4 linked regions of the Lepisosteus oculatus genome follow. The protein of the gene in region 3 interacts with the protein of the main gene of each other region in a pairwise test. Links are inferred from orthologs where the notes say so. Each region holds a gene or a part of one and is shown on either strand. Other genes may lie near its edges.

Evidence for each region.
Region 1: the proteins of zyx (region 3) and imp3 interact in binary tests that used the Homo sapiens proteins (3 or more experiments, as listed by UniProt). The link is inferred for Lepisosteus oculatus from reciprocal best matches to the Homo sapiens genes ZYX and IMP3.
Region 2: the proteins of zyx (region 3) and nebl interact in a two-hybrid assay, tested with the Homo sapiens proteins (2 studies listed by BioGRID and IntAct). The link is inferred for Lepisosteus oculatus from reciprocal best matches to the Homo sapiens genes ZYX and NEBL.
Region 4: the proteins of zyx (region 3) and vaspb interact in binary tests that used the Homo sapiens proteins (3 or more experiments, as listed by UniProt). The link is inferred for Lepisosteus oculatus from reciprocal best matches to the Homo sapiens genes ZYX and VASP.

Annotation. Positions count from the first base shown.
Region 1 is NC_090704.1:31,046,198-31,053,380, forward strand, and holds the start of imp3 (U3 small nucleolar ribonucleoprotein protein IMP3), read left to right. Parts: upstream 1-4,171; 5' UTR 4,172-4,279; coding exon 4,280-4,416; intron 4,417-5,832; coding exon 5,833-5,940; intron 5,941-7,183. UniProt on the Homo sapiens protein: Component of the 60-80S U3 small nucleolar ribonucleoprotein (U3 snoRNP). Required for the early cleavages during pre-18S ribosomal RNA processing. Part of the small subunit (SSU) processome, first precursor of the small eukaryotic ribosomal subunit.
Region 2 is NC_090701.1:17,879,970-17,887,318, forward strand, and holds the start of nebl (nebulette), read left to right. Parts: upstream 1-4,340; 5' UTR 4,341-4,355; coding exon 4,356-4,358; intron 4,359-4,736; exon of another isoform or gene 4,737-4,834; coding exon 4,835-4,897; intron 4,898-5,025; coding exon 5,026-5,097; intron 5,098-7,349. UniProt on the Homo sapiens protein: Binds to actin and plays an important role in the assembly of the Z-disk. May functionally link sarcomeric actin to the desmin intermediate filaments in the heart muscle sarcomeres.
Region 3 is NC_090718.1:2,071,768-2,079,745, forward strand, and holds the start of zyx (zyxin), read left to right. Parts: upstream 1-4,959; 5' UTR 4,960-5,330; intron 5,331-5,368; exon of another isoform or gene 5,369-5,578; intron 5,579-7,798; exon of another isoform or gene 7,799-7,978. Other genes in the region: fam131bb (protein FAM131B), read right to left, coding at 310-400. UniProt on the Homo sapiens protein: Adhesion plaque protein. Binds alpha-actinin and the CRP protein. Important for targeting TES and ENA/VASP family members to focal adhesions and for the formation of actin-rich structures.
Region 4 is NC_090698.1:2,213,429-2,221,192, forward strand, and holds the start of vaspb (vasodilator-stimulated phosphoprotein), read left to right. Parts: upstream 1-4,753; 5' UTR 4,754-4,768; coding exon 4,769-4,974; intron 4,975-7,764. UniProt on the Homo sapiens protein: Ena/VASP proteins are actin-associated proteins involved in a range of processes dependent on cytoskeleton remodeling and cell polarity such as axon guidance, lamellipodial and filopodial dynamics, platelet activation and cell migration.

The sequences.
Region 1 (7,183 bases), on a different chromosome or scaffold from region 3:
TATGGCCAATAAAGTGATCTTATACTGTATCTTCCAGTTCTGCGAAAGGCTTCTGCAGTACAGCTCCCTCATCTCTTTCACACATCAGATTTCTGGGCAGCACATTGCTGAGTGTCACATTCCCACCAAAACGCAAATTCCTTCCATAACTTAATGAAATTTGACCCTAAAAACCTTTACCAGCCCCTAGCACATAAAAAACACATTCACATGGCCATTTTTATCTAGGATCATCTTTATGTGAATCTTTAAATGAGCTCAGAAGATTATGAATGTGTACACAGAAGGCTCTCTAAAACAGCCTATTAAAGCTGTAGCTGAACTGGGATGATTGAATTGTACAGGTCCTGCTTAAACGCTGACATGATTTTAAATTTTATCTGTATGAGAATGTCAGTGTTACAGGCTGAATTGCCACCAAACAAAAAGAGATGGCATTGTGATGACCCCCGCTCCATATTTCAAGGGTGATCTGTCGTTTCTGTCATTTTGCAGGCCACTGTGAGAACGTGTTTATGTTCTGACATGTAATGTTTCTTCCATTAGGTAGCCAGTACACCTTTAATTAGCACCTTCCTTAAACACGCTTTATTTCTTTGTGGTGATATTTTTGTCTTTCGAGCCTTGTTGGCCTCCCGGGAGTTTCACAGTGCCGTGATTGTATAGTTACTGTTTGTGTGGTTTCCGTCTCAGCCCTGCCTGTCCTGGGGGTGTGATCATACTGTAATACAGACATAGCTCTGCCCCTCCTGGCCAGCTCATCAGTAGGGAAAGAGGCTCAGTGTCTTTTCACACCATTGTGCATGGCTTCCTCTAGACCTGATAGCTGGTGTCACTTTCCACCACTGATGAAACACTGCCTTCCCAGGCATGGCTATTTTGTCATGATCACACACAGCCATTACAAAACAAACACTACCAAGCCAGACTCCACTGCTGCAGTGATATTGTATTATTGCTGTTAGGTCTTTTATTGTTCTTTTTTTAAGAATGCATTGTTATTGGAATGTGAGGCAGTAAGGTTACAGAGTACAAGGCAGTGTTGCACTGCAGTAACAGTGGGTGGGATAAGATCATTTTGTGGTCAATTTCTTGTAGTAGGAATTTGTCTTTTCCCAAACCCCGACTTGCTCTCCATAAGACACACAGACAGGGAGAGAAGCTGGGGGTCAGAGCGCAGGGTCAGCCATTTATATGGCACCCCCTGGAGCAGCTGGGGTTAAGGGCCTTGCTCAGGGGCCCAATGGAGTAGGATTGCTCTGCCGGCTGAGGGATACGAACCCGTAGCCTTCCAGCCACAGGCACAGAACCTTAGCCACAGAACGACCACACCAGATTCAGTATTTTCAATCAGATACTGCTGATCTCAATGTACATGTCGCCTTTCAAGGAGCCTAAACATACACATTAAAACAATTTCTCTACAACAGAGAACACTTCAGAATGTACAAAAAAGAACAACAAGAAGAAGAAAGAACATTTACAAAAGTTACATGACCTAGGCACACAAATGGTCAAGTTCAAGGTCAAGTTCACGTTTATTTGTCATTCCAGTCACATACAAGAATACACTGGAATGAAATATCGTTCCTCCTGGTCCACAGTGCAAATACAGGCAGGACAGACAGGATACACATAGTGGAAAGTGCAGATAGTGCAAATTACACAATATACACAACACACTGGGGGGATTTAAACCCTGTTTCTGGAATTGGGGTGGGTGCAAGTAGATTCCAGGGTGTTGAGGAGCCTGACAGCCTGCGGGAAGAAGCTGTTACAGAGCCTGGTTAAACTTGTCTATAGCTCAAGAGTACATGGGTAATGATCGAACAATAACAATGGTACCAGCTCTGAACTCGGCCTAGTCCGTTATCTCATCCCTACCCCTGACATTTAGGAGAAAGCCCATGAAACAAGGTGGCTTTTGCAGAGAAAGGGTCGGAGCATTACAAATGCAAGTAGGAAGGGAATTCCAGAGAGTAGGAGCAATGGAACTAAAAGAATGAGGTCCATTGTTACGATCATTACAATGCAATGCAGTATAGAAGAGCATAGTGCAATATAAGTGCAGAACTTCTTCGGTGTGGCGTGGCACTATAAAACAGTAATGTAGTATTATTTTAGTGGGGTTCAGTGTTATTGAACTGTGATATTATTGGAGTTCAGTATTATTGAACTGGCCTACTGTGATAATTTGAACTATTTGATCTGCTACAATGTTAGTGTTAGTGTTGGTGAACTAAATTAGCTGCTCTGTTTCATCATTAGGCATTAGGCACCATACATACCGAGTCTCTGTCTCTTCCACAGTATATAGTAAAGCCCCTGCATGTACCTCCGGGGTGTCAGAGCTCACAGCGTGGCCTTCATGTCCCTCATGCTGAAGCCAAGGTTTGGCGTGACAAGTTGAACCTGCTCTTCCACATTCCCAGAGGGTACAGTCTACAGAGTTTGTGATGAGCACCCCCCACCCCAGAGCATTTTCCTTCTGTTCTGTTTGGACAGGACAGGGCTGGAGCAGTTAGCGGTTTCTGCCTCACCCTCTGCCTAACAGTGTGCTTTGCCTTTCATGCCCTTTTGTCTTTGAGAAAGAGTAGACTTTTCACTTTGCTCAAGGAAGTCAGAAACCTCCACTGCCCTAATTACAGACCCCAATCTGAGAATCTGCCCCTTACAGTATCAGTACCATACAGACTGGAGCTGAGGAGTCCACTGTTGGTGTGGCTCTGAACTATGTGACTCTGGTAAGGGCATCCCCAAAGCTAACGGACCCTGGCCTCCTGGGCATGAATAGAGCTCACACAGCATGGACAGAAGACAGATTTTATTCTGAAAATGCCAGAAATGTAGAGTACAGCATCTCAGCTATGACTGTGGCTCAGCAGATTATCTGCCTGCCCGCTGCTGGTGCTACACAAGAGCTGAGATGCCAGTTTGTTTGCATCATAGAGCAGGGGTATCTGATCCTGGTCCTACAGGGCTGGTGTGGCTGCATGACTTCCAGGTCTGAAGATCTGGAAGTAATTGGGTTGTTAAGCCAATAACGAGCTGACTGACAGTGCCGGATTTCCCATTAGGCACTTTAGACACAGTGCCTAGGGCCTAAAAATTTTTTAGGGCCACGAAGGAGGGAAACACTAGTGACTAATGAAAAATGAGCTGAAACAACATGCTTGCGATCGGCTCTAGGTGCTCCAAATCAATAATCATGCGCTATTTAGCGGCTGTTCTAGAAACGAGAAGTATCGAAGTGATGGTTGCTCAACTCGCTCCATCAATCACAAGGTTTAGCATGAGAATAGATAGATAGATAATACTTTATTAATCCCGTAGGGAAATTGATAGTATAAATCAATTAGTTAAAATAGTTTAAAGTGCATCATGTCAATCGACGTAATTCAACTGGGGTTTACCCCTCTCTTTGCACAGTTTGGAGTGCAATAACCTAGGGCCTACGAACATCAAAATCCGTCCCTGCTGACTGACTTGGAATGAAAACCGCAGGCACACTGGCCCTCCAGGACTAGGACTGTCCTCCCCTGGCAGAACCCTTTGTTATTTGGACTCTTTACTCTTCCAGAGGTCTCAAACAGTTCCTGGAAGGCCAAGTGTCTTCTAGTTTGTGTTCCAACCATGTTCTCACATAGCTGGTCTGATTATTTAAGTAACTGTATACTTGTAATATCTCTAACCAGGCTCTGAGGCGATTTATAGGAAACTGTAACTGAAAGTGAAAGTCTTGTTTATTCCACTCTAAAAGGCCTCAAGAAACATCCTGTTACATCCTGAAACTGTTACATGTCTGATTCAGAAAATAATTGGGTCAATTACTTAATTGACTTCCCAGGTTGGAACAGAAACCAGAAGACACCAGGCCCTCTGAAAATGAGTGTGAGACACCTTTGCTCTTCTAAACACGTTTTCACTTAGACTTCCATACTGGGATCTCAGATGGTTTGGTGGTATTGAAATGGAATTTCCTGTTTGCATTCAGGGTCTATTTCTAAGTGAATACTGGAAGATTCGATGCAACGCTGTTTCTGAGGCACAAAAACAATTTCTTCTTCTGAAATGCGGTTAAACCTCCTAAAAGCACTTCTGCACATTTATACTTAACTCTTTAGCGAAGGCTGAAGCTACAGTGCAGACGCTCACGTGTCGCTGCTGGGGGTAGGTGACGTCAAAGCCCAGCGATTTCTGCTAGTGACGGAGAGCGCCGGAAAGAGGAACTTGGAGAGTTTGTTTAAGTTTTTGTGTCGTTTTGCAGTAATATAGAAAGATGGTGAGAAAGTTGAAGTTTCACGAGCAAAAGCTCTTGAAGAAAGTCGATTTTATCAACTGGGAAGTGGACAACAACTTACACGAGGTGAAGGTGTTGCGTAGATTCCACATCGAGAGGAGAGAAGACTATACCGTGTAAGGTTTCTCTGCTGATTCAAACTAAACACGCTGGGCTGTGCGCTTTACTGCACACGGGAACAGACATAAATTGCGCAAGCTCTTTGTTGCTTCTGCGGTTTCGAGAAATAGGAAAATATCTGCCCTTTTTTTACAAACAGATAACTTGTAGCATAAGTTGTTCTGTACGCATGTTTTTTGAAAGGGTATTACTTGCTAACGGAACCCTTTATGCGTGTTTGTTGTGAGACCCATGCTTAAGAGGCTCGTAGAAACGCTGAAACTACTGAAGCTTCACGTGAAATACGCTTTAAATTGTAAGTCTCATGCTCAGACGTGGGCGCCGCCATGACACTTTTCTCTTGCCGCGGGGTGCTACATCGGTTGTCTTTTTCTTCGTCACGCAAGCACTTTTACTTTTAATCAAGTTTAGAACCAACTAAAGTAGATGAAAGTGAAGTTGACAGTGGCATTGCCGTTTGCGTTTAGGATTCGTAGCCTTTTCTCCTGCTGTTTGTGTCGATGGGTTGGGGGACTTCGAATCCCAGCATGCTCCGCGGTCTGTTGCGCTGCAGGCTGCCTATATCCGAGCGCGTGCGTGGTTTTCCTCACTGCGGTGCGTATCATGGATCAGTACTTCTTCTGCAAAACCAGAAAAAGCTCTGAAATAATATACCTCCTTAACCGAAACTGCCTGGGGTTTACGGCTGGAATTGTCAATGTTTCACTTCTTCATTCCTGTTAAAAAGAGTTAAATTGGGCTTCCTTGCCTTTCAATCGCATCAGGTCTGATTTTAACTCCTTGGAACAGCTGCACCAGAACCGCACACGGACTCTGGACAGCAGTGTGTAAAGGCACTCAGAATACTGCCTGGGTCTCTCCAGGCCATCGCTATAAATGAGAAGCTTTTCTCATTAGAGCCATCTGCTTAAATAAAGCATTAAACAAACCGCTCCTGCGATCAGTCATAATCTCCATACTGTTATACTTCATTTCTCTGTGCCCCCCTTCACTATCCACCTCTCTCGCTGTCATTATTTTCCTGCCGGTATCAAATCAAAGTTTATTTATCAAATGCTCAACAATACAGCGTGCAGCAGTAGTTGCTGGTAATGAAATGTCTTTTCTGCAAGCTCACAAAAATCACAAAATAGAGGTTATGAAAATAAGGTTACATACTAATAGATGTAATAGAAATTGAATAATGAGTCGAGCTGCTATGTGTCCATGGTGTATGCAATAAATACAAGTAGTGCAGTTATGCTGAATACAGTGAAAACTGTGTCCATGTAGCCATTACAGGTGATTTGCTAAAGGATCTGCAGGTTGGCTGTTTAGCAGTCTTAAACGGTACCCCTGTTCTTCTCTCCTGTTTGCTGTTGGTCCTCCCTGTTCACCCCTTCTCCCCCCTCTCTGCCCGCCTCTCCCGACAGGTACAACAAGCTCAGCCGTGAGATCCGGCAGCTGGCCCAGAAGATCCGGGACCTGAACGAGAAGGACGGCTTCCGCGCACAGAACACCGCGCGGCTGCTGGAGAAGCTGTGAGTCGTGGGGCAGGGCTGTGTGCGCGTGTCGGACACGGAGGGAGGGAGAGGCATTCGGCAGCGTGGGCTGACCCGGTCGGCCAGGCAGTCGGTCCATCGGTACAGTGTTGGGAAAGGAATGGACAGGAACAAAGTCATGGATTTATCTCATAAAGATGTCAACTGTGGTTTACAGAAATGCATTGTGGGATGCTCAGAGGGTTAAAACCACTGTTTCTCATATAGTGTGACCTGTGTGATATTACAGGATTTTCAAGACCTTTAATACAGCTGAAGGGCTGATATGCCCATTTTTACATTAATAAAGCAGGTCCAGCTTCTTATGAAATCCATTCTATTTCAAAACTTCAGCATTTGTCTGAGCTTCTAGCGATGATTAGTGATTTAGTTTTCATAGGCAAAAGACTTTGTGCCACTCATTCATTCACACTGTTTAAATTAGAAACTGTGCTGTTTTTTGGGGAATGCACATCCACAAAACACCGTTCAGTTTCACAAATTAAATGGAAATGAGTTTCATAAGTGTAGCATCCTTATATATTGTGGTATCTCAATTTCTCTCCTCTAGCTACAGTACAAAAGTATGTAGTAATCTTGAAAAACGTCTGTCTTTTTTGGATTGTGTTCAAGCTTTGTTCTTAATCACAGGCTTCATTATTTCAACTTTCTTTTTGAGGCTTTTTTTAAAATTTCTTGTAGAACTTAAAACATTTAATAGGTGTCAAGCCTGTGCTAATCAGTCCAGGACTGCCCTCATTCAGGTGTGTAAGGTGAATTATATGAAATATAGCCAATTGGGCTGAAGTAAAAGGAAGATCACAGACTCACTGTGGGAGGTGTCTGATACAGGGCCATTCTCTCCTGTCTCTGTTCATCGCTTTGATCACTTACTAATAGTCGTTTAGTCAGAAATAGGGGAGCAAGTGAGTCTGCGAGCCGAGGAGAGACTCGATTAAATTCTGTGGGCTGATGTTTTTGGAAATAATGTGCTTTAACTGAGGCCTCTCTGAAACCAAGAGGCGAGTGCTGAAACAAGCAGATCAGTTACAGGCAGCAGTTAGCTCTGCTGATTAAGGGCCCAGTTGGAATGAAAACCAGCAGACTCAGGGGTACTTCTGAGAGCCCCTGCTCTGAGCCCTCCGCAGTATGCACTTCTGCTGGCGTCTTTCCTCGTGCTTCTTCAGTGAAGCCCTGCTGCTCTCCAAACACGTTTTAATGTGCACAGTGGTGATTTTAAAGC
Region 2 (7,349 bases), on a different chromosome or scaffold from region 3:
AACTTATAATTAAAATACAAATGCATTGGCTTTATGTTAATTTAAATAACATTGATTAAGTAAAACAAACAGCAGTAATCACAAACTTATAAACTCTGATTCCAGTGGATGCCTGCTACAGTATTTGCCTGCTCTGTCATTAGCACAACCCCTCTGTAATAAAACTGTCAGAGAGCCTGTAAAGGCACCTAAACTGGGAGCTCTTGTCACAATACCAAAACAAGACCATGTTGAGGTGCAGACACTGGGTCGCGGGTACTTGGGCAGGGGGCAGAGAGAGGCTTTCTCACTAGCTAGATTCATCGCATTATCCCAGTCTGTTGTGCAGCTAGTCTGAAAGTTGTACTTAACTACCTTCCGCCTGGATTCATCCTGCTCTGCTCTGCTTCCACCCGAAACCCCGTCGGCCAGGCAGAATCGCAAATTTGCGAATGTTAAAATTGCAGATGTCAAAACCGTGCTGTATTCAAAATCCTCAAAGGCGTTCACAAAACCAGTCCCATGAAACTGCCTTCAAATTCAAAGGGTAAATACGAACCAGAGGATACGACAGTATGTAACAGTGTATTTGAAACTGAGAAGAGGAGGCGCTTTATGTGAAGAGTTGTGGCAGTATGAAACGAGCTAACGAATCATGCTGTTGAAGCTAGTACCCTGGCTTCTTTGAATAAACAGCAGGGTGTGATGCTATGGTTAATTTGGGTGATGACATGGTTATGGTTAATTTGTTAATTTGGGTTATGTTTATGGTTAATTTGGGTGATGCACACTCGAAGAAGGCTCCACAGCCAAAATCTTGTGTTACCTTTCTTTTCTTTTCAGCATGAAATAAACCTTTCCTTGTTTCTTTGTTATGGTTAGTTAACTACTAACTACTAAATGGACTAGATGGGCCAAATTATCTCCTCATTTGTAACGTTTCTTATGCTCGTATTAATTTTTTTTCTGAAACATAATACTCCTCTCTGTGATTTGATAGTTGAAACAACAGTCCCATTGTCTTTTTACTCGTAAAATGTCAGAATTAGTCAATTTGGGAGTAAATATCCTGTTTACTTTTCCCTTCTTCCTCGAACACACAAGTGAAGAAAAAGATTATCTAATCTTGTAAACTGTAGCTGAAAGAGGCTGAACCCGTCTTCATGGATACCAAGATAATTACAGAAAAATGTGGGTAAAAGGACAGTATTTGTTGTGTTAAAAAGATTAAGTGAGGCAGCCAGCTAGATGCAGTTAAAGCTTTTAAAAGGGTAATTCACTCCCGTTTTTTTCTTTTTCCCTAAATAGAAGATTCTTAAGCTTTCTTGTTTGAACTTCCCACTGTGCTGTTTCTGTAGTATCCCCCAGGACAGTTTTTTTCTTTATTTGTCCTCATGAAAGTTGAATGACGAACGCTTCCCGTTACATCACGATTTAAAGGAAAATGGGATTTCTTGCTTTAACGATGTATGTTTCCTTCCTACATGTTTTTAGAAGACATTTTAATGCCAATAAATTGTCAATAAAATGTCAAAGAAAGAAAAGGAATAGGGACTGTTCCGAGCGCAGCTGGCCCTAATTAACTCCCATTACCCAGTTACCACACCACACCCCTTCCCTCACTACTTAAACCCTCTGCTTACTTTGTTCACTGCTCGGCATTAGGAAACCAGCCTGCCTCCTGAGCTCCTGTTGTTTTCAACTAGCTCTTGATCGACCTCTGTGCTTTGACCCAGCTTCAGCCCTTTGACCTGCCTTTTGCCTGCTCGTTCGGATTTGTTCGCCTTGGCCTTTATAAACACTACCCTGCACAGGGTTAACAGGGACAGAATATACAGATGAGGGAACAGATCACAGAATTTCATCAAAAAGTATATATTTTTGGTGTTACGGGACAGTTTGAGGGCAGCATGAGGGTGCAGTCAGTGGTTAGCATTGCTGCTTCACAGTGCTGGGCTTCTGGGATCAGTTCTGGTCCTAGTGCACTGTCTGCTTAGAGTTTGTATCTACTCACTGCGTTTTCTCCAAGTGCTCCAGTTTCCTCCCTCAGTCCAAAAACATACTGGTAGATTAAACTGGCCGTAGCGTGAGTGTGTATATATATTTATGTCTGTGTGTGCCCTGTGATGGACTGGTGTCTTGTCCACTGTGTGACCTGTCTTGCAGCCATTGCTTCCTGGGATAGGCTCCGGGCCTACGTGACCCTGAATTGGATAAGTTGATATTGAAAGTGATGATGTGATGATGATGTGACTGTACTAAGTACTAGGCTGTACTAAGTAGAATTTAACTTTACATTTTAATGACAATGTGGTCAGGACTGTTTCATATTAAGGAAACAGTGTCCTCTAGTTACTGTACCAGGGCAGTAGTTTTGGAAATTCTGGTCCAGAGAGAAAGGTGCCACCTACTTAACCACCGACACTACTTACAGGATGCGCTATTTTTTCTTAGCAGTCTCCTATCTCAGTACTTGTCGAGTCCAATCTTGCTTAGCTTGTGAGACCTGATAAGATCAGGCCAGAAGGCAATAATTAATTGCATTTATATAGCAATTCCAAAGGATTCCAAAATGCTTTGCAAATTCTGTAAATGTATCTGTGGGCTGCTTCAGTAGAATGCCTAGTATTCTTTCTGGCAGGCATTGTCAGTATGTGAGTGACCTTCTATAGTAACTCTCACTAAGATTGTCACAAACTGCTGTTAGGCCTTTTTATAAAACTACCTGGAAAAAAGAAAGTAGAAAAATCAAGGTGTGATGAAGCAGCAGTCCACTTTGTGAAAGATATTTTAACCTTGCAATGATTCCTAAAAACATTTGAATATATGTTATTGTTTTATATTTATAAAGATGCGCATTGGAAATCTTTTTACATTATAGGGTAGCACCATGAGAAAATAAGATTTCTTTATTTCCTGATCCAGTCTCTCTTTCTCTGTCAGTGAATTGTTCTCATCAAGAATGCAGAAGAAAAGAACAGCGAGTGATTCCATTTAAAGCACAGATGACTGTCTTTGAAATGTCACAGAAGCTTCTTGTGTGACTAAAGAGCTCAGATAGATATGAGCTGTACAGTTTAGTCATGTCGAGATAAAAGCATTCACATACCATGGCAGCTGACATCACTGCCTCTGTGTTCGGTGAAAGTTCTCTGTCCATCACCCTGGAGGGCATCGATTAAGCCTAAGCAAGCTTCTCAGTGAAAAGCAGAATCTAATACATTGGTGTCGGCAGAAGTGCTGCTCTATTATTAGTGATTAGTGATGTGTTGGTTTTAGGTAGTTCCTGATGCTTATTTAGTCAGCTCTATCATTTTATTGTTGCACATAAGAAAATTTGTGTCTAAATGAAGGCTTTTTCTATGCCATATACACGCTGAAAGCCATTATCAATCAAATAATTAATGCCTGGTGAACTACATTTACAAAAGAAAAGCCATTTGCTGTAGCTTTACAGCATGGAATTGTTTTATGAATTTAAAAAATCAGTGGACCCTGACTGGCTCAACCAACTGGTTGTTCCAGTGGGCAGGAAGGGCTCTATAGTCCAGGCATCACTGGTGTTATTCTGGCCTGTCCTATGAGCCAGCTGAGGCAGAGATTCCCAAGTAGCTTGGCACTGGCCACAATATTTTTGGCCAGCCATGCAGAGTATCCTTGCCTTGTCCATCAGCAGCACCTCTTTGCTCTATGAGATACCTTTGCAGGGGAGTCTTTTGTGTCATTGCAAGCGTTCTAGCAGTGAGTCAAATTGAGAAGGAATTGGGAATTTCAGGCTAGGAGGGTATTAAAGAAGATTTCTTGTGTTTGCTCATCCATCCATCCCTTTTCTAACAGTACAGGGTTGCAGGGAGCCTATCCTGGCAAGCAACAACTGCAAGGAAAGGATACATCCTGGATGGGACATCAGTCCATAGCATAGGAAAATTGGCCCTGGTGTGAGTATAGTACTGTTCTTGCATGTCTTTGTTTGTCTCTGTGGGCCTTGTGATGGGCTTGCATCCCGTCACAATCCAGAGTATTTCTGGCCTTGATTAAAGTGGTTAGAAAAGGGGTGGATATATATGTGGTGCCTCTTTACTTGTGAAATTTAATTCTGGTCTGGAACTCAGGTTAGCGAATGCACGCTGTCATAGAATGATGCATTTAGTAACTCTCAAGGGAGATGTTGAAAGGAATTAAGTTGATAACTGTTAGAGTGGGCAGCTATATCGGTCTGGGAACTTCATTCGAACATTTTGAGTTTAATTCCACATTGAGAACATGAAAAGTAAAGCATTTCAGCTGTGGAGCTGTCTTCAAACATCAGTTAATGAGTCCAGTGCATTCTTTGATTTTGCTTTTCAATGTGGACTTAACCTTATGTTCTTCCTAAGATGGTAAATTAAGTTTTTAGCAAATATATAGTATTAACGTTCAGTTTTAAACTCCTTCTAGACAGTCCATGTATTGTTCATTAGAGCTGAGTGACTTATCAAGGCTTATACATACTTATACATACATATGTCATACAATGTTGATATAGATAGATTTCATTCAATCTTTTAATGCATTTTTAAAAAATATTTTTTTATTTATACCTGTAGGGCATAATGTAAAAGATATGTTGTGTTTCAGAATTGTTCCTTGTTTGTTCCTGAGGTTTCAGGCAATGTGTTTCTATTGGCATGTAGAGAATTGTGCAGATAAAAGCTGTTGAGTGAGGTCTAAATTAGGAAGGTGGTTTGATAAAGAATACTGAACGAATGGAGTTGGGTTGGGCTGAGGCACTCAGAACTGCTGTCGCAACCCCTAAAGGAGAAGCAGAGCACACAGTCACCCAGAAAGTTCTTTTCTCTTCTGGTTTAAAATTCAGAAGCTGTGTGATTCCAAGGACATGTCTGAGGAAGATACTGGGGTAAACATGAAAAAGGAGGAGGTATGTGTTGTCAGCTCTTATTTTTGTGCAGGGGTGGGGAAGGGGGAGCATAGTTGTTTTTTCTGATGACCTTCGTTGAAATCAATTTTGAAATGCATTTGGAAACGCTTTTCATTTTTCTTCCTCAGGCTTTCAGTAAGCCCATTGTTGAGGACAGGAACTTAGAATTTGCCAAGAAGTGCAGCGAGTTGATAAGTGATGTAAGTATATTTTGGTATTTACAATGACTAGACATGGCTGCACTAATTTGCATTTTGTATGGGTGTTATTGCCACTTCTAAGCCTGCCATTATACACGAGACCTTGATTTGAGAAATCCGAAAGGTTTTAGTGACAAAGCCATTGTGATCAAACCTTTGGCTTTTAGCCATTAATCTGCGTAGTGGGGAAAAACCTATTAAAATTCCCCATTGGTCCAGCTCATGAAAAGAAAGGATGCTTGTTATGTGTATGGTGTAGTGCTTAGGTGTGAAGTTGGTTGAAATAGTGTTATGAGGGAAGAAGCTGTGCAGAAAAAAGGATAATGTAATTATATCATCACTTGTTGGCGTCATTTACTAGAAAAACCTATCATGGTGCCAGGACACTTGCCAGGAAAAGTAGACTATGAAAGGATGAATCAATGGATATCTTTTATGGCTTTATGGCTAATAAATGGAAATATCCTTAAGTACAACACTGACCTGTAGAAACGTTGCAAGCCAGTGCTTAAATCCATAAAAGCATACCTCATTACATAAACTAAGACTTAAAAATGCGAGTTTAATTCAGTAATAGAACACTTCTCAGAATCTGTCGGGCACCTACAGTAGTACCAGTGCACTTCAGAGTTCAACACCGAAAGCCTTTGTAAGATAGTCATACAGCATTTACTGTATGAACATGTTTTTTATGTAACCAAAGTTATATTTAAATAAATGTTCCCATCAATGGAGAGTTAAATTCTGTTTTCTTATGTCACTACTTAAGTCACTACTACTACTGTGTTTAGAACCTCATCTTATATTCCTAAAAATAGATAATGACTTCTGGAATATTACTATGGGGGCATTGTTCATACAGTCATACAGTACATTAAATGTTTTTAATGATTGAAACAAGCTAAATGAGAAATACTGTTAAAACATGCAACATTTCCAAAAACATTGTGAAGTGATGTTATTGTATTATCATTTAAAAGATTATTTAGTTTGGAGAAACGTCTGGACTCCTTTAATGGCCTGCCATTGCATACAACACCAACATTACAGTGTACTAACCACAGAATTATTCATGCTCATATTTTGCTCACAGCTTTCTATTAGTCAAAACAGGTGGTATGTGAATGTTAAATTAATATGCCCTTAAAAGTTTAAGGATACATTCAAGACGTAATCCATAGAGAGAAACTTTTAAAGGCAAAAATGGGGTAGGTCAATTACTTTTCATCTACCAAGTGAAAAGTTTCTTTTTTTGCACATTTTCATACATTGGAAGTTTCCCTAATTGCTCTCTATGTGATCCAACATTAATACTGAGCAGTTATGAAAAATCCTATAATTAAAATTGTGTTTGCTGCTTTGCAATGCTTAATGACATGCTGTCCTCCTCCAGTGCTGTGTGTGATCAAGTGCTTCAATAATTTTGACACTCCTCATCAGAACTGGTCTCTAAAGCCAGATGACACCCCAAGTGCTAAGTAATTAGCTGCAAATTTGAATCATGGAACATTCTGTAAAATGAAGGGTTTAGTTTTAGGTCATCTTATTACTGAGCCCCATTTCTATGTTGTCAAATGTTATTACCTACATGGGGTCTAAGTTTCAAAACCCATATCTTGCAATGAGAAAGAATGGGTTTGCTTTTGAACTATAATGTGACCGAAGCTTTGGACTTCCTGCAAACCTCATATGGGACTGTAGTGATGTGATGGTTTGAGTTTACTTACACAATTAAAAACTGGGAATGTGAACTCAGGGACTGCAATATGGCTAATAGGAATTAATCAATCAGATCAAACAGTGATCTATAAAATACAAAGAATACAATATACAATTGTATTAATAGTTTATTAATAAAGTAATAAAACATGCAAGATAAACTAATGGAAGATTATATATTTATAAATGTATAAAATACAAATGGATGGTTAATCATTCAGATTTAATATAATATGGGGTTAAGAGATGCTATAATTCTTTTATTCTTTTGAATGTAGTCAAAGTCATAATAATCATTCTCTTATAAACACATCAACATTCATTACTGCTTGAAAGACAAGTAAATATTCAGTTACCTTCCTGGATTAATCTTTATCAAACATATTTTTCAATAATAGTTTAATTTGTGAATTTTATAATGTAAACATTGAATGCATACCCATGGAAATAAAAAACCCTGGGCAGTCCAGATGAGATTTGTATAATTGCAGAAGGGAGAGAAACCGAAAGACCCACGTCATGGCTTGTCCAGT
Region 3 (7,978 bases):
CTCGCCCGCCCAAGAAATACCTGAACACACACACACACACACGCCGGGCTGGACACACACCCCCAGGGACCTCACACACAGATGCCAATCGGTGACCAAGTTGCTATCCCGAGGTCTTCACCCACATGGAGCGTTCACGTTGCTGCAGGCAAAGCCGATCGGAGGGGAATTTTATACACCGGTAGGATACTCCGCGACCCCCCCCCCCAGCAGAAGATGAGCATCTGCCCCTGCCCCGTTTCCCCAGTGCTGGCTGGTACCACACCCCCACCCACACCCCCACCCCCCGTTCAAAGGAAAAAGCCTTACTCAGTGTTCTTGAGCCAATGCATCCCATTTTAGTGGCAGTGGAGGCCTGTGCACAACCTTCGGAGAGCCAGCAGTCCAGTCCCTCTCCCATTCATCTCTTCCTCTCTCCGTCTCCCTGCGTGCCTGTCTCCGTGTGTGTGTGTGTGTGTGTGTGTGTGTGTATCTCCGGGAGAGAGCGTGTGGATGTGAGAGGGTGTGTGGATTCCTCTCTCTCTCTCTCTCTCCTCCTCCTCTCTCTCTCTCCCGGTGTTAATGTAGCGGCGTGCTCAGCCAGTCCGGTCGCCGGTCTGCGCCGGGTGCTCGGCCACCCTCTCGCTGCAGTGCCAAGAACCGGCTCCCAGCTCGGAGGACGGAGAGAGGGAGGGAGGGAGGGAGAGGGAGGGGAGAAAGAGGGGAAGAGAGAGAGAGACGGGGAGAGGAATGGTGATAATGATAAAAGGCAATTAAATCTCTCGGTGCAGGCAGCTGGCTCAATTGCACTTCGGATCCCGATTCGGCTAATTGGTATTATTAGTGGAGTGGCTGGGCTCTGCTCTTCCGGGGGGTCGGTTGTGCTAGAGCAGTGAGGGGATTCTCCTCTCTCTCCCCGTCTGTTTTACAATGCAGTACAGCTGTTTCCCTCCACCTCTCTCTCTCTCACTCACACACACACGCGCGCGCGCACGCCCGCGCTCACACGCACACACACTCTCTCTCTCTCTCTCCCCCTCCCTCGCATTGATCCGGAATCGCAGGGCTGTGAGATTGTATTACAGGGTATTCCTCAGTCGCTCCGTGTGCCTGTTTGCGCCCCTCCCTCTCCTCCCCCCGGGCTCGTCTCCCGCTCCCTCTTTCCTCCCCACTCCCTTCCTCTTCTCTCTCTCTCTCTCGCCGTGCTCAGATCTCTCTATCAATTCCATTCAGCTCAAGGTGCTTCAGTAGCGGGGCCGATGGGTACAATCAGCGCTGCCGAAGCAAATGAAAATGAAGTTAACAGGAAACCCAACAAAAAATAGAAATAAAATACATTCGACAGACATTTACAACAAAGACATATCATAAAATATTTACATATTGAGCATTACTGTGAGACAAGTTCACTGTTCCTCAGGCTGGGACGGGAGATCACGTACTCTCTCTCTCTGTTCTCCGTGATCAATCTCTCTGTGTCTGTCAGCCTGTCTCCCTGTCTCCCTGTCTCCCTGTCAGTCTGTGTGTCTGTGTGTCTGCCTGACTGCCTGACTGCCTGTCTGCCTGCCTGCCTGACTGCCTGTCTGCCTGCCTGTCAGCCTGTATGTCTGCCTGTCAGCCTGTCTGTCAGCCTGTATGTCTGCCTGTCTGCCTGTCAGCCTGTCTGCCTGCCTGTCAGCCTGTCTGCCTGCCTGTCAGCCTGTCTGTCAGCCTGTATGTCTGCCTGTCTGCCTGTCAGCCTGTCTGCCTGCCTGTCAGCCTGTCTGTCAGCCTGTCAGCCTGTCTGTCAGCCTGTCAGCCTGTCTGTCAGCCTGTATGTCTGCCTGTCAGCCTGTCAGCCTGCCTGCCTGTCTGCCTGCCTGCGTGTCGGCGTGTCTGTCTATCGGAGCTGCAGAGGAGGGAGAGGGGGAATGGAAGAGGACACAGTCAGCTCTGAGATGCGAGGGCAGATGACACTCACACATGCACACATGAATCACCTCAGACACACACACACAGACTGTGGGTGTCAGGGACGTATTATGCATTCACACTAGGAGAGGCAGGGAGGGGAGGGACGCTCAGAGACATACTAAACAGATAAGATGCTGTGATGCACAGATTAGCATTCTGCTGAGGAGAGGCGAGGAGAGGGGGAGGGGGAGTGCGGGAGGAGAGGTGTTCTGAATTAGAGAAGGGCACTGAACCCAGTACTGCTCATAAGCCTCCCTCTCTCTGCCCCTTCCAATTGCCAGAGCTGCTCTGGCATGACCGACGAATTACTGCCCTGCCAGCTCAAGGACTCCGCGGGAACATGCTTGCAGACATTTCGTTAAATAACACAATATTGTGATCTGAGAGGCTCCCGCTCTGTCTCAGGCTGGGACAGGAGATCACACACTGGGCTGCAGCTCTGTCCAGTTTCCTCTCCCAGTAGGACTGATCCTGGCAGGTGTGGGAGCGCTGAGATTTGGTTTGTTATTTGTTCGGAAGAAGGTTTCTCTAATCCCTGTGTGTTTCTCCCAGCACAGCAGGAAGTGCATCTCTGTCTCTGCTTCTCCCTGCCGGCAGGGAGAGCACAGTCTGTCCTCTCTGGACAGCCAGGTCTGCCGGTGTCCAGTTTCTCTGTCCAGGCTGTGGTCACTGAGCCTGTCCTCTCTGGACAGCCAGGTCTGCTGGTGTCCAGTTTCTCTGTCCAGGCTGTGGTCACTGAGCCTGTCCTCTCTGGACAGCCAGGTCTGCCTGTGTCCAGTTTCTCTGTCCAGACTGTGGTCCCTGAGCCTGTCCTCTCTGGACAGCCAGGTCTGCCGGTGTCCAGTTTTCTGTGGTCACGGAGCCTGTCCTCACTGGTCAGTGAGTGTTTTAGGTGATTAAACTGCTGTAGCCGTGATATTGTGGTCTAAGTATTCGAGTGCATCAAAATGTTGTTACCGTCTAACTGGTATTGACTGGTAACAGTGTCCACAAACCACACATAAGTGTTTTTTCAGTGTCTGACACTGATAGACATAAAAAATGGCTTGAGAGTGGCGTGGGTGGACCAGTAGGTGACGCTTGATCCTCTGGGACACAGTTGCCAGTCCAGTGCCCCAGTATGGCGATCAGGCAAGATGTTAAGCCGCAGGTCTGGACTACTTGTTCATTAGAGATCCCGTTGGCTCTTTGTTGTAAAGTTAGCCCTGAATTCAACTGGAGAATTAAATTCTCTCCTCGGCCCCTGACCTGTTACACAGTGGGGCTGCTGGGTTAACTCTTATATTAAATATAAAGGCGTTTTAATAGACGTGGTGGCAGTATGGCCAAAATAAGAGAACACCGAGTATTTCTCCTCCTCCTTGTGCGCCTCCTGTCGCACCTGTGCGCCTCCTGTCGCACCTGTGCGTGTTTTCAGAAGATCGATGGCGCCGGTGCGGAGGCGGCGCTGCCGCAGACCGCGGGGGTTGGGCGGAAATGTGTCGCAATGCTGCGCTCTTGTGGACGCGGCCGGTATTGCGCCGCGGCGGACGCTCCGGAGTCGAGCCGTCCTCGGAAGCCTCCGCCGCTGGGCTTGAACGTGCGGCTGGCAGGGCAGATGCTTCTCTCCCGGGGCGACCTCCAGTTCCGCATTACGGGGCCAGGACCGCGAGCCGCCGAGGGAAAGAGTACGACTTCTGAGCGATTGCGATGAGAAAAAGCAGCTTAACAATCACCCAGGCCGGAGGAGTACGAGTACTTGCAATTCCATGAAAGAGAAAACATGAGATACTAAAGAGGATGATAAGAAAGAGGAAGACACAACAACAAAACCATGTATTCACAACACATTCATGGGATCCTGATCCAAGTTCCCAGCTGAAGATGCCAGAATAAAACTATAGAAACGATGGATCCGGATTCCTGGAAAGGGACAAGGGAGTGATGAGCAGAGTCCATGGCAGACCGGCGCCTGCAGGGGGCGCTAGAGAGACAGGCAGAGAAGAGCAGCAGAGGGGTGGCTGGAGACAGGAATGAGACACGTATGCTGAAGAAACAGGGCGTGAGTGGGGTCTGCTGAGGATATCCGAGGATTCAAGTGGAATCTGCAGGAAACTGTTTTTTTTTTTAAAGGAGAATGAGTTAGGGGGGGAGGGAGGGCCACTTCTTTACACAAAGGGTGGTGGGAGGGTGGAACAAGCCGACACCCTGGCTTCTCTCAAGACACGGCTGGAGGAGATCCTCCAATCAGGACAGCACGTACTTCTTTACCCAAAGAGTGGTGGGAGGGTGGAACGTCTTAGCACTTCTTTGCACAAAGGAACAAGCTACCTGGCCAAGTTGTTCAAGCCGTGAGCCTGGCTTGTCTCAAGACCCAGCTGGATGGGACCCTCCAGTCGGGACAGGAGGCTCTTCTTTACACAGAGGGTGGTGGGGGTGTGGAACAAGCTGCGACCCTGACTCCTCCCCAGACTCAGCTGGATGCGAAGCTCGGAAAAACAAACGACTAACTACCAAACGGGTCAGGTGGGCCCCTCTCGTTTGTAACCGGTCTCCAGTTCTTCTGAACCTCCCCCCAAAAAAAACAGAGAAGCAGCTGGGCCGTCTCCCTCGTCTTTCTCGGACAGCGGATGTTCGGCGGGCTGTGGGGGGGGGGCGGGGGCAGTGTCCAGCGGTCTGCTCCTGAAGGGATGAGCTCATATTGACTCACCGTGTGCTCATCCTCTCTCTCGCTCACACACACACACACACGGTCTGCCTTCAGGGACTCGTGCTGCGGGCCGATCGGCCTGTGTTACCCCCCCCCCTCGCTGTCTGGGGGGAGCCGTGCAAGTCGGGGCACCTGCACTTCATCAACCCTCACCTCTGCCTGGGGCGCGCGCGGGCGCACACACACACACAGCCCTCGCTCTCTGCCTCTGACCTTACAAGGAAGTGCAGGCAGAGCGCTGATGTCATACCGTGAAGAATGTTGCAAGAATCCAAATTAAGAGAGAGGGAGAGAGGAGGAGAAGGGGGGGAGGGGAGGAGAGGGGGTGGAGAGCAGCAGGGGGGCAGGAGGAGGGAAGGAGGTTGATAATCCCGATGCACAGTTAACACGGGCTGCCCAGAGGGCGTGGGCCCCTCTGCCTGCCCTCTCTTCCCGGCGAGAGGGAACTTGTTGGGGCGCTGAGAGAAGGAAGGAGCGAGAGAGAGAGAGACGGGGGTGTGGAGAGGGAGTGGTGCCACAGCTGTGGCAGCGAGAGGCAGAAACAGAGGGAGAGGGAGAGAGAGAGGGAGTTCAGTACAGGACCCACCAGGACGGCGGCGCAGCCCCCCGACCAGAGAACAGAGAGAGAGGAGGACGAGTTCGCCGGTGTTTCAAGCCCCCTAGGCAGCCAGCAGGCAGAAGAGAAGAGTCTTGAGCAGCCTGGCACAGGGTAAGAGAGTGAGAGAGAGAGAGACGAGCTGTTTAACGGGCACAAACGCTAGTCAGGACAGGCTCGGCAGCTGCTGCCGGCCGCCTCGAACCCCTTGCACAGCGTCGCCGTCCTGCCGCTGTCGCGGTTTTTCCCTCCCCCCCATGCCCGGCTAGGCTGGTCAGAAACGCGCGGCAACTTTATTTAGCGAGCCTCTGGGTGCCACATCTGGCAGGACCCACACGCCAAGCAACTGTGGAAGTCAGAAGGTGTGAATCCCGGGACTCGATCACATAGAGAATGCATGTTCATGTTGTCAAGTGTTTACACCGCTTGCTTCAGTTCTGCGTCCTAAACCCTGTTACTTCCTTCTTCTCACTGTGTCCCCTGTCCTGCTGCGTGTGCGGATTACTTGGCGATTCCCTTTAACCTTCTTTAAAATGACTGATACTGGACATGGAAAGAAACTGACACTCTTGCTACTAAATGGGAGACTGGCTGAGAGACAGATATATGCACTATCTGTAACTTGCAAGCATAATGCACGACCTAACACTGATATTGATGTAGAGCGAGCTTGTGTCAAGTACACTGACACAGCCCAGTCACAGGGCTCTAGACTCTTCTAGTCCCTGTGGACACGCTGACACAGCCCAGTCACAGGGCTCTAGACTCTTCTAGTCCCTGTGGACACTGACACAGCCCAGTCACAGGGCTCTAGACTCTTCCAGTCCCTGTGGACACACTGACACAGCCCAGTCACAGGGCTCTAGACTCTTCTAGTCCCTGTGGACACACTGACACAGCCCAGTCACAGGGCTCTAGACTCTTCTAGTCCCTGTGGACACACTGACACAGCCCAGTCACAGGGCTCTAGACTCTTCTAGTCCCTGTGGACACACTGACACAGCCCAGTCCCAGGGCTCTAGACTCTTCTAGTCCCTGTGGACACACTGACACAGCCCAGTCACAGGGCTCTAGACTCTTCTAGTCCCTGTGGACACGCTGACACAGCCCAGACACAGGGCTCTAGACTCTTCTAGTCCCTGTGGACACACTGACACAGCCCAGTCACAGGGCTCTAGACTCTTCTAGTCCCTGTGGACACACTGACACAGCCCAGTCACAGGGCTCTAGACTCTTCTAGTCCCTGTGGACACACTGACACAGCCCAGTCACAGGGCTCTAGACTCTTCTAGTCCATGTGGACACACTGACACAGCCCAGTCACAGGGCTCTAGACTCTTCTAGTCCCTGTGGACACTGACACAGCCCAGTCACAGGGCTCTAGACTCTTCTAGTCCCTGTGGACACACTGACACAGCCCAGTCACAGGGCTCTAGACTCTTCTAGTCCCTGTGGACACATTGACACAGCCCAGTCACAGGGCTCTAGACTCTTCTAGTCCCTGTGGACACTGACACAGCCCAGTCACAGGGCTCTAGACTCTTCTAGTCCCTGTGGACACACTGACAGCCCAGTCACAGGGATCAAGACTCTTCTAGTCCCTGTGGACACAGTGACAGCCCAGTCACAGGGCTCTAGACTCTTCTAGTCCCTGTGGACACACTGACAGCCCAGTCACAGGGCTCAAGACTCTTCTAGTCCATGTGGACAGAAAGTAACATGTTAGACAGTAAATCACAAACGGAGAACCTTGTGATGAAATTGATTCCAGTATGAGTTTTAGTTTAACACATCATTTTGTCTTGTCTTAATTAACTCAGACAAAAATGGAAAACAATTTAACCTTTTTTTATCATCATTGTAGATTATTTTCTTGAGCATTTTATCATTGTTAACTAGAATGAAAAGCGGGTCCTTGAGGAACATTTTCACCATAAATGTTGTCAACAAAATGAACACCGGACACAACCTAGTCATAGTGCTCTAGATTATGTTTATTTATACTGTAGTATAAATGAATATTGGAAAAAATAATTTGATTAAATGCTTGATGCTAAAGAATCTGATCCAGACCAAAAACAATGTAAGACTATCCAGACTTTCAATACGTGATCTAAATATTTTTTCTCTTTTTGGGCACAAAGAGCAAAAAAGAATTAAAAAAAAATGTCCACACACCCTGATTGACTGGACACTACAGCACAGAGACACTGACTGACTGACTGGACACTACAGCACAGAGACCCTGACTGACTGACTGGACACTACAGCACAGAGACACTGACTGACTGACTGGACACTACAGCACAGTGACCCTGACTGACTGACTGGACACTACAGCACAGAGACCCTGACTGACTGACTGGACACTACAGCACAGTGACCCTGACTGACTGGACACTACAGCACAGAGACCCTGACTGACTGACTGGACACTACAGCACAGTGACCCTGACTGACTGGACACTACAGCACAGAGACCCTGACTGACTGACTGGACACTACAGCACAGTGACCCTGACTGACTGACTGGACACTACAGCACAGTGACCCTGACTGCCTGGACACTACAGCACAGTGACCCTGACTGACTGACTGGACACTACAGCACAGTGACCCTGACTGACTGACTGGACACTACAGCACAGTCACACAGTGAGAGCTCTGTGTGTTAAAGTTCGAGAGTGCTGTGACGAAACCCCAGTTATCAGTGGACTGACGTCACTGCACAGGAAGCGGCGGGACCCCGAGAGGTGCGGCCG
Region 4 (7,764 bases), on a different chromosome or scaffold from region 3:
GCCCTCCAGGGCTAGGATTGGACACCCCTGTGTCCTGGAATCACACACATGATTAACGTGAACAGAGACCAGGAGATGAAACAATGTTGGTTGACCTAAGAGTTACAAATATAAGCCAGGTTACTTCTGGGCTGTTTGGTAGGAGACCTGCAGACCTTCTGGCATCAAAGCTGGTGGACAAGTACAACTGTGTCCCCTGAAGGGCTCCTCATAGACAATTGGCAAAGATCCTCTGTCTGATCCGATGAGAAACAGACACTTCCAGTCCTTTTCATGTCTAAGTGTTCTACAGGGCCAGTAAAATAAGCCATTATTGGTTGGATCAAAGTCCAATAATGCAATGAGAGGAGCTGTGTGGCCCTACCAGCCCGTTAGCCAGTTGATTGATTCTAGGATCTCCTCCAGCTGTCTTTTGTAAGAAGGCAGGGTATCGGGCTTTAGCTACATGGTTGGCGAGCTTGTTCCCCACCCCCACCACCCATTGTGTAAAAGAGTTCTCAGTTTTAAATGCATTTCCCCTTGTGTCCCCTGGTTCGTGTTTCACCCTTGATTCTGAAGACGTCCGCTGGGTTGGGTTTGCCAGAGCCTTGAGGATTTTTGATTGCTTGTATCGGATCCCCTCGTAGCCTCCTCTGTTCAAGAGTTGTTTTGGGAGCCACGCCTCCCCAGCCTCCCGCCACACGGACAGAAGGCTCTTGAGGGAGCAGAGGAAGGCTGCCCGGTGTGTTCGGTGACATTTGAAGCGCCCCCTTGTGCCCGTGGAGCAGAACCGCCGGGCGTCGCGCTCTGCAGCAGAGTGGCCCAAGCCTGCCACGCCCACCTCCGCGCTCACCTGAGCGGGAGATCAGACTGGTACCGGAACCAGAGAGCCTAGTTCCATCTCTGCACCGTGTTGTTGTACGCAAGGCGTGCTGAGCTCCGCAGGTAACGAAGGAATAGAGAGGTTTATGGGGCAGAGAGGGAGAGTGTGAGTTGTGAGTTTACAGAGTGCAGCTCTTCTGCGAGTCCAGGGCGCAGCCCTGAATCTCTGCCATTTCCTGCATGCCTTGCATTGCTGGGTGCTGTGATTACTGGTAGCCTGGAGGAGGACAGTGAGCGTGCAGGGTCTTGTGGGGACTTGAAGGGATGAGGGTTTCTGGAGTGGAAGGAAACAGAGCCTGCGAAATCGCCGGACATGGGTGGACACCCCAGGAAAGAGCGCAGGACACCGGCACCCAAGCCCGGGCTTCGTGCTCTCCGGTCTCGCAAGAAACGGCTTCAAAGGTGGAAGCGCTGATCAGCAGTCCTCAGACGAGCCCTGTGCGACAGGAGCCTGCGGGAATATGAAATTGTGCTTCATCAACCCCCCTCCGCCAGGCCATTCGAGGAGGAGGGGCCGGAGCTCTGCTGCTCCTCTGCTGAGCTGTGGTTAGGCCTGTTGAGTGAAGAATTATTCGCACTGAATAATGAACTACAATGTGGCTCGTTAGAGTGGCGATGAACATTATTTAATGAAATGCAGTTCCCAGTTTTGCCTGTCAGGAGGGTCGTACAGTCCCCCTCCCCCTCACATCATGATGCACACATCAGTTTAGAACAGCATCACTTTGCATCCGCGACATGAACATGCATTTCTTTTCCATCAGCTGACGTACAGGGTTGGAAGGAGCATAACTCTTTGATCCGTTGTATTCAGGCTTTCATGTAGAGTGCTCTGTATGAGTGTTGTCATCGTCCTCTAAAAAAATGCATTGCTGCTCTGAAATCAGACCAGGAAGTAACGCTCGTATTCTTTGTGGGGCTTAAGGAAACATCCCACACGGACAGGCTGAAGGAGCTGAAGCTCTTTAGTCCTAAACACTGAAAGGGGTCTTCGTCCAAGTAATCGAAATCATCAAAGGCAACAAAGTCACTCAGTGGGCTTCTTCAGAATGAACGGTGAGACGCGGACCAGACGGCACAGGTTGAAACCACTTGGAAGTGCATTTAAAACAGGCACTTCTTTACACAAAGGCTTGTAGGAGCGTGGAACACGCTACTGTTCTTTAGCTCCACTCTGGTTTGTGTCTGTTCTTGGATGCCATACGTTTAAACTGGGCAGGTGCGGTGCGGGCCCTGTTCTGCGCCTGGTGTCGGGTGGTGGACAGGAGCGGTGCAGTTAATCTGCTGGAAAGGAGAACTGCCCTGCGGACCCGTCATTGTGTGAAAATGCGCCGGAGGAAGCGGCGTGCGGCGGGTTTGGAAGTTGCACCCTGGCTGCGCCACATCTGCACATCTCCCATCCAGAGCTGCTTACGAGTGCCGGCCCTTTGCGAATTTGCAGAGTAGCAGCAGGCGGAATGATGCAACTTCACCATCACACCCAAATTGATGCCTTTCGGGGTGTCCCTCTCTGCCCGTGCCCCCTGAGATCTCCCTGCGAGTGTTTTGGGGTTCCTTCAGAGGAGGAGTGGGGCGTGTGCACCTGACAGCTTCATGACACTGTTCCATTGAGTGGGGCCGTATCCAAGACCAAGCCTGTCCCGGGGCGAGCCGGTACCGTGACGGGCCGGTTCACCCTGCCGCCGTTCCTCGGTGTGAAGCCAAGCCCCCGCTGTCGCAGACAGAGCTACCGCTCCGTGCGGCTCGTGCTGACCAGACTCGCCTGCGCCGACCCTGGGGGGGAAGAGGAATTTGAGGAAGTCAAACCACAGTGCCTGGTTTTAGCAAACTGTGAATTTGCAGAAGCATCTTTCACAAGAGCCTGAGGATGTAGCTGAAGAAACAATGAGTGTGCGGAACAAACGAACGCAGTTTGTTCTACGTTCTCATTGTCCCCCCGTGAAAGCGGAGGACATTGTTTTCAGTGGTTCTTTTCCATCTGGTTGTGGATAACAATCAAGTTGCGTTCTGCGAAGTTTTGTCCGCTTCTGCAGACATCGGAGTGCGTGGTAGTGTTGCGCACCTGCAGCCCCGCTGGGGAGCTCAGGACATCGGCTTCACAAGAGATGGATCTCCGAATTGTTTCGCAGAGTCCCAAACTGGATTTGTGCTCCCTAAAGCACGTTACAGATCCAGAGAGAAAGTTTGTTGATTTCAAGAGCTGGCTGGCCGCATTTCATCAGGTTTATTCACACTCTCTTCACGCTGACAATCGCAGTAATGTGAAGTCTGATAAGTAACAGCCTGATTCGGTGTTCCCAGGGGTGTATGTGATAATACCGACGCTGGGATCACCTGTCCATTCGTGAGGCTGGTTATATATAGTGTGAAGGAGATGCTCGAGGAGGGAGCTGTGTCGGCGTGTGCCGGCTGCAGAGGAACAGGTCAAGGATTTCTCCCTGCTGAAAGGAAAAGACATGAGGAGAGACGCAACGTTTCGGATGTGGGGCCTTCTGCACACACCTGAAGAAGATCCACAGCCGAAACGTTTTCTCTTTTCCTTTCCTTTCTGCATGGAATAGACCTTTACCTGTTCCTCTGTGGGAAGGAGGTGAGCATCAGGCCAATGCACCAGAGGTCTTAAAGTTCTTGTTTTTTTCCTCCAAGGCCTTATCTCAGATCCCTTGTGAAAAAAGTGGCGGCGATCAGTTTATCTCGATGTGTGGAAGGCTCTCTCCGTTTCAGAACCCTCTCTCCTCCGCCACGCCCGCGCTTGTCGAAGGCCGTGAGTCGCCCGCAGCCCTAAGACACCGGCAGTGCTCCCAGAATGCAGGCTCCAGTCTGAAACGCCCTGTGGGGCTGGTGGAATGTGGAATTAACTCTTCGAGAGCTCAAAGCCAAGATGTGTCCTGGAGCCCAGACCACTATAATCTGTGTCCTGTGTCTCAAATCGCCCAAACACGTTTCAGGCGTATGTCACATATCTTGATAAATGATGTACCTTTGTGTGCGTTTCATTTCTGCAGTTAGTTGTGTATGGAGACCAGAGGGGCAGTCTTGCCTGTGCTTAGCTTGGGGTGTATTCTGAGGTGCCTGCGAGATTTGCACTTTTGCAGAGCTGCATATTAATGCTGCGTTTGTTCATTCTGTTACCGAAAGCTTACGCAGCTAATTATATAAGCCTGTTGTATATCTGGTATCGTCTACCACAGTCTCGCTTTAAGATGGTAAATGTATTAACAGCAGCTGTACTTGCACTCGTCTACTTTTTGACAGTTATGTTCGGGCCGACTTCAAAACTTTTTTTTTTTCATTTGTTAATATCAGTGGCTAGAGCAGTGTTCCTGTTTACCCTGACCACATCCCTCTCACTGTCAGTGTCCTCTGGACCGCATCGGGGGAGGCGAGGCCTGCAGGCTGCCGATAGGATAGCCCTAGTACAAGCACAGATAATTCACATGAAGGGTTTCTTGTTTTAAGGGAAAAAAGTTTGCAGTAAGTAAAAGCGCGAGACGCTCTGCCAAGCTGACGCAAGCCAGCTCAGCAGACTGCCAAACAACACTGAGCACAAAAAGGAGCAGGCACAAACACCCCAGACTGTGAGCCGAAGGCAGGCTGGTGATTGTAGGTTTTGAGCGGTTTGGTGGGGAGAGGAGAGGGCTGCAGTGGGAGGTGGGGCTGGAGACTCGGAGGGAGTGGAGGGGGGGGCAGGTAGAGCGGAGCGAGCCAGGGCTGGCAGGGAGACGGGGTGTGGGAGGGAGGAGAGGGGCAGGCGGGGCTGGGCCTGGGCCTGAAGAAGAGAGACGGGAGGCGCAGGTACAGAGAGCTCCTGAGGGAGCAGTCGCACAGGGGGAGAGACGGAGGGGGCGTGCCTTGTGGGGCATGACTCAGCCCGTCGGCGTGTCGCTGAGCACAGCCTTATACAGGCATGTCTGAGAGCGCCTGGCCGCAGTCTGTTTACTTCGCCCCAGCTGCACAGTTTCCTGTTAACTCCTGCCTGACCAGGCAACAGGGCTGCTTTCCCTCCTGGATCAGCAGCCATTTTGGCTCCTGTTTCCACCCAGGGTTTCGGGGTGCGGTGCCTTGGACTACGGCATCGTACAGAGGGGTTTGTCGATGGATCGTGCTCAGTAGGTGTGTCTGTGGTCCTGGCTTCTGGATTGCTAGCCTTTTGAGCCCATCGAGCACACGATCCTTTATTTTGAGAGCTCTGCTGATGTGTTTAACACAGCCCACTGGCCCCAGAGGTTTATGAGGAAATATGCCTGCCTTGAGCATTTCAGAAGCCTAATTTCCGGTAGGAAAAGGTCAGAGTGGTAAAGTGAAACTGTAGATTTCTGCGGTGAATGGTAGACTTTGCTGTTGGTAGGTGGGGAGTGGCAGTAGCTCCTGAAGGAGCAGGTAGTGATTGTCGGATGCGCTGTCTGCTCAGAGAGTCTGGGCCTAGCTGAGGCTCGGCGTGATCCATCATTTAATGCTCCTGCCGAAGAGCAATCTGAAGAGATTGAAAATGCATGCCAGCTCGCTCTCTTTCCGATTGTCTGAAACTCTCGCCTTGTCTCCGTCACACACACGCACGCCCCCCTCCGGGTCACAGACCCGTAGATTCCTCTTGGGGAGTGAGCCTGACCCTGTGCCCCTCCCCCTGAGCCAGCAACGTTAGCCTCTCCGGGACACGGGGGAGGGCAATTAAATGAACCCGGGCCCATGATTCCGTCAGGGTCTGAACGATCAGGTTCTGAATGAGCGGGACCCGGCGTGCCATCCCAGCAAACACTACAGGGCTGGGACCCGGAGCTGCGAGTGCTGTGTGGGCCGGTGCCGTTTACTGGTACAAGAACATCAAGAAGATGAGCAGAGGCCATTTGGCACAGAGGTCTGGCACATCTGGGCTGACTGAACCCAGATCTCATCTAGCTGGTTCTCGAATGTAGTCGAGGTATCAGCTTCAGCTACTTGGTTGGTCAGTTTGTTCCAGACTCCCACCACCCTGTGTGTAAAGAAGTGCCTCGCGTTGACAGGTTTGAATGCACTTCCCTGTAGTTTTCGCCTGGGCGCTCTGGTTCTGGAACTCCGGCCCACCTGCGCCTCCCGAGCTCCCCCCGCGCGCAGGGGGGTCTCCCAGCAGGGCGGCCCCGGCAGCGGGCGAGGCTGGCTTGGGGCCGCCCCCGCCGGCCAGCCGTGCTCGTGTGTGGGAGGGCCTGTGTTTTGCGCTCTGGGAAATGTTTGCATTGCAAATCTAGCCCCCCCGCGCCTCCCAGTTTTTTGCTTCCTCCCCTTGGCTTCAATTTTGACCTTTTCGCTCCTTCTACTGCGGCACTCCGGCCCTTCCGCTGGTTATTTCACTACTAGAAGCCGAGCCTTGTCCTCTCTTTCCGGATCCCTGTCCAGCAGTGGAGTTAGTCGGTAGAGGGCGTTCGTTCTAGTTTTGGACCTGAACTGCTTCGCTGGGGAGTCGAGAATGACTCGACAGCCGGGGCTCTCCAGGAACAGGGCTGCTTTAAGCCCTCGTTTTGCCGACATCTACAGTACGTGTATTTTTGGGGGTTCTGTCCGATGAAGAAGGCTGAATCGTACCCCTGGTAAGGGCAGCACCCTAGAATCTCAAGTTGGTCCGGGAGCTCATTGTGATCTGTTCAGTGCTGTCTTGCCAGAAACCACTCTTGTAGGCAGGGAATGCTTCTCATTTTTTCCAGATTCCCTGGCGTCTTCAGTAGGATAACCAGATAAAATAACAAGCACGTCAGGACTTTTTACTTAATTTGATTTGCTGTTAAACTCGGGGCAACTTGGCACAGGCGATAGAAGACCTTGAAGCAGTGGGGATACGAATAACATTCAGCACTGAGCAGACCTCTGCATGGTACCCAGACATTTAGGAATTGGCATGCTTAACGAGAGCAGGAAAAGCCAGTCAACAAAAGACCATCTTTGCAATCGATTGACACTGTAGACACTCCTGCAGGACAGGCTGGAGCTTTGTGCTCCAGCTCAGCAGCTCACTCTTCTTTCGGTTGAATCCCTCCGATTTACCTGCGCTGGATCACAAACAAATTAAATATTAACGCGATCTGTTCCTTTTCTCTATTTGGATTAATATCCATGTGTGTCGGGGTGCGTTTTAGAGCTTAACAGTTAATGATTAATGAATATTAAAATACAAAACGGGTCATAGTAGGGCCAGCACGATCCTTTCCATCAGGAGAATGAAGTAATAAATAAGAGAAGACTGCTCGTCCCGTTGAGCTCGTCAGTAGCTGATTGATCCAAGGGTCTCTTGCAGATGATTCCAGACAGAAGCCAGGCTGTTGGCTTCAACAGCGTGACTGTATACCTTGTTCCACACTCCCACGACCCTTTGTGTAAAGTAGTGCCTCCTTTGCTTGGGTTTAAAAGCACTCTCATGGGGTTTCCCTTTGTGCCCTCTGGTGCGTGTTTTGTTGTTATTGCTGCAGGAGTCTGCTAGATTGACCTGGTCACTGAGGTCCCCTTGTAGTCTTCTGTGTTCAGGAGTGAAAAGGTTCAGTTTCTCCCGTGTGTCTGTGTAGACCACTCCCTCAACCCCTGGAATGGAGCCGATGATCCTTCTCTGGACAGATTCCAGAGCAGCAATACCTCCTCTCTAACGCAGTGACCAGCATTGTACATGCGCTTCTGAACAAGGCCTTCCTGCTGTCACACTGTGCAGGGCCGGAGGGGGGAGGGTGCAGGTTGTTCAAAATGATTTTTTCTTTCATTTTTGGGGGGCGAGAGAGCTAGAAGGCTTCACACCACATCCCCAGTGTGGCAACACTTGGGCTAATTCGGCCATCTGCGTGTTTCTTCATCGTCAAAAAAACCCTGATCCAAAACAAACAAACTGGGCAGTCGGCCAGAACAAGTCAGTCTGCGCCGAGCCTCAGACAGCCCTTCAGGAGGAGCCTC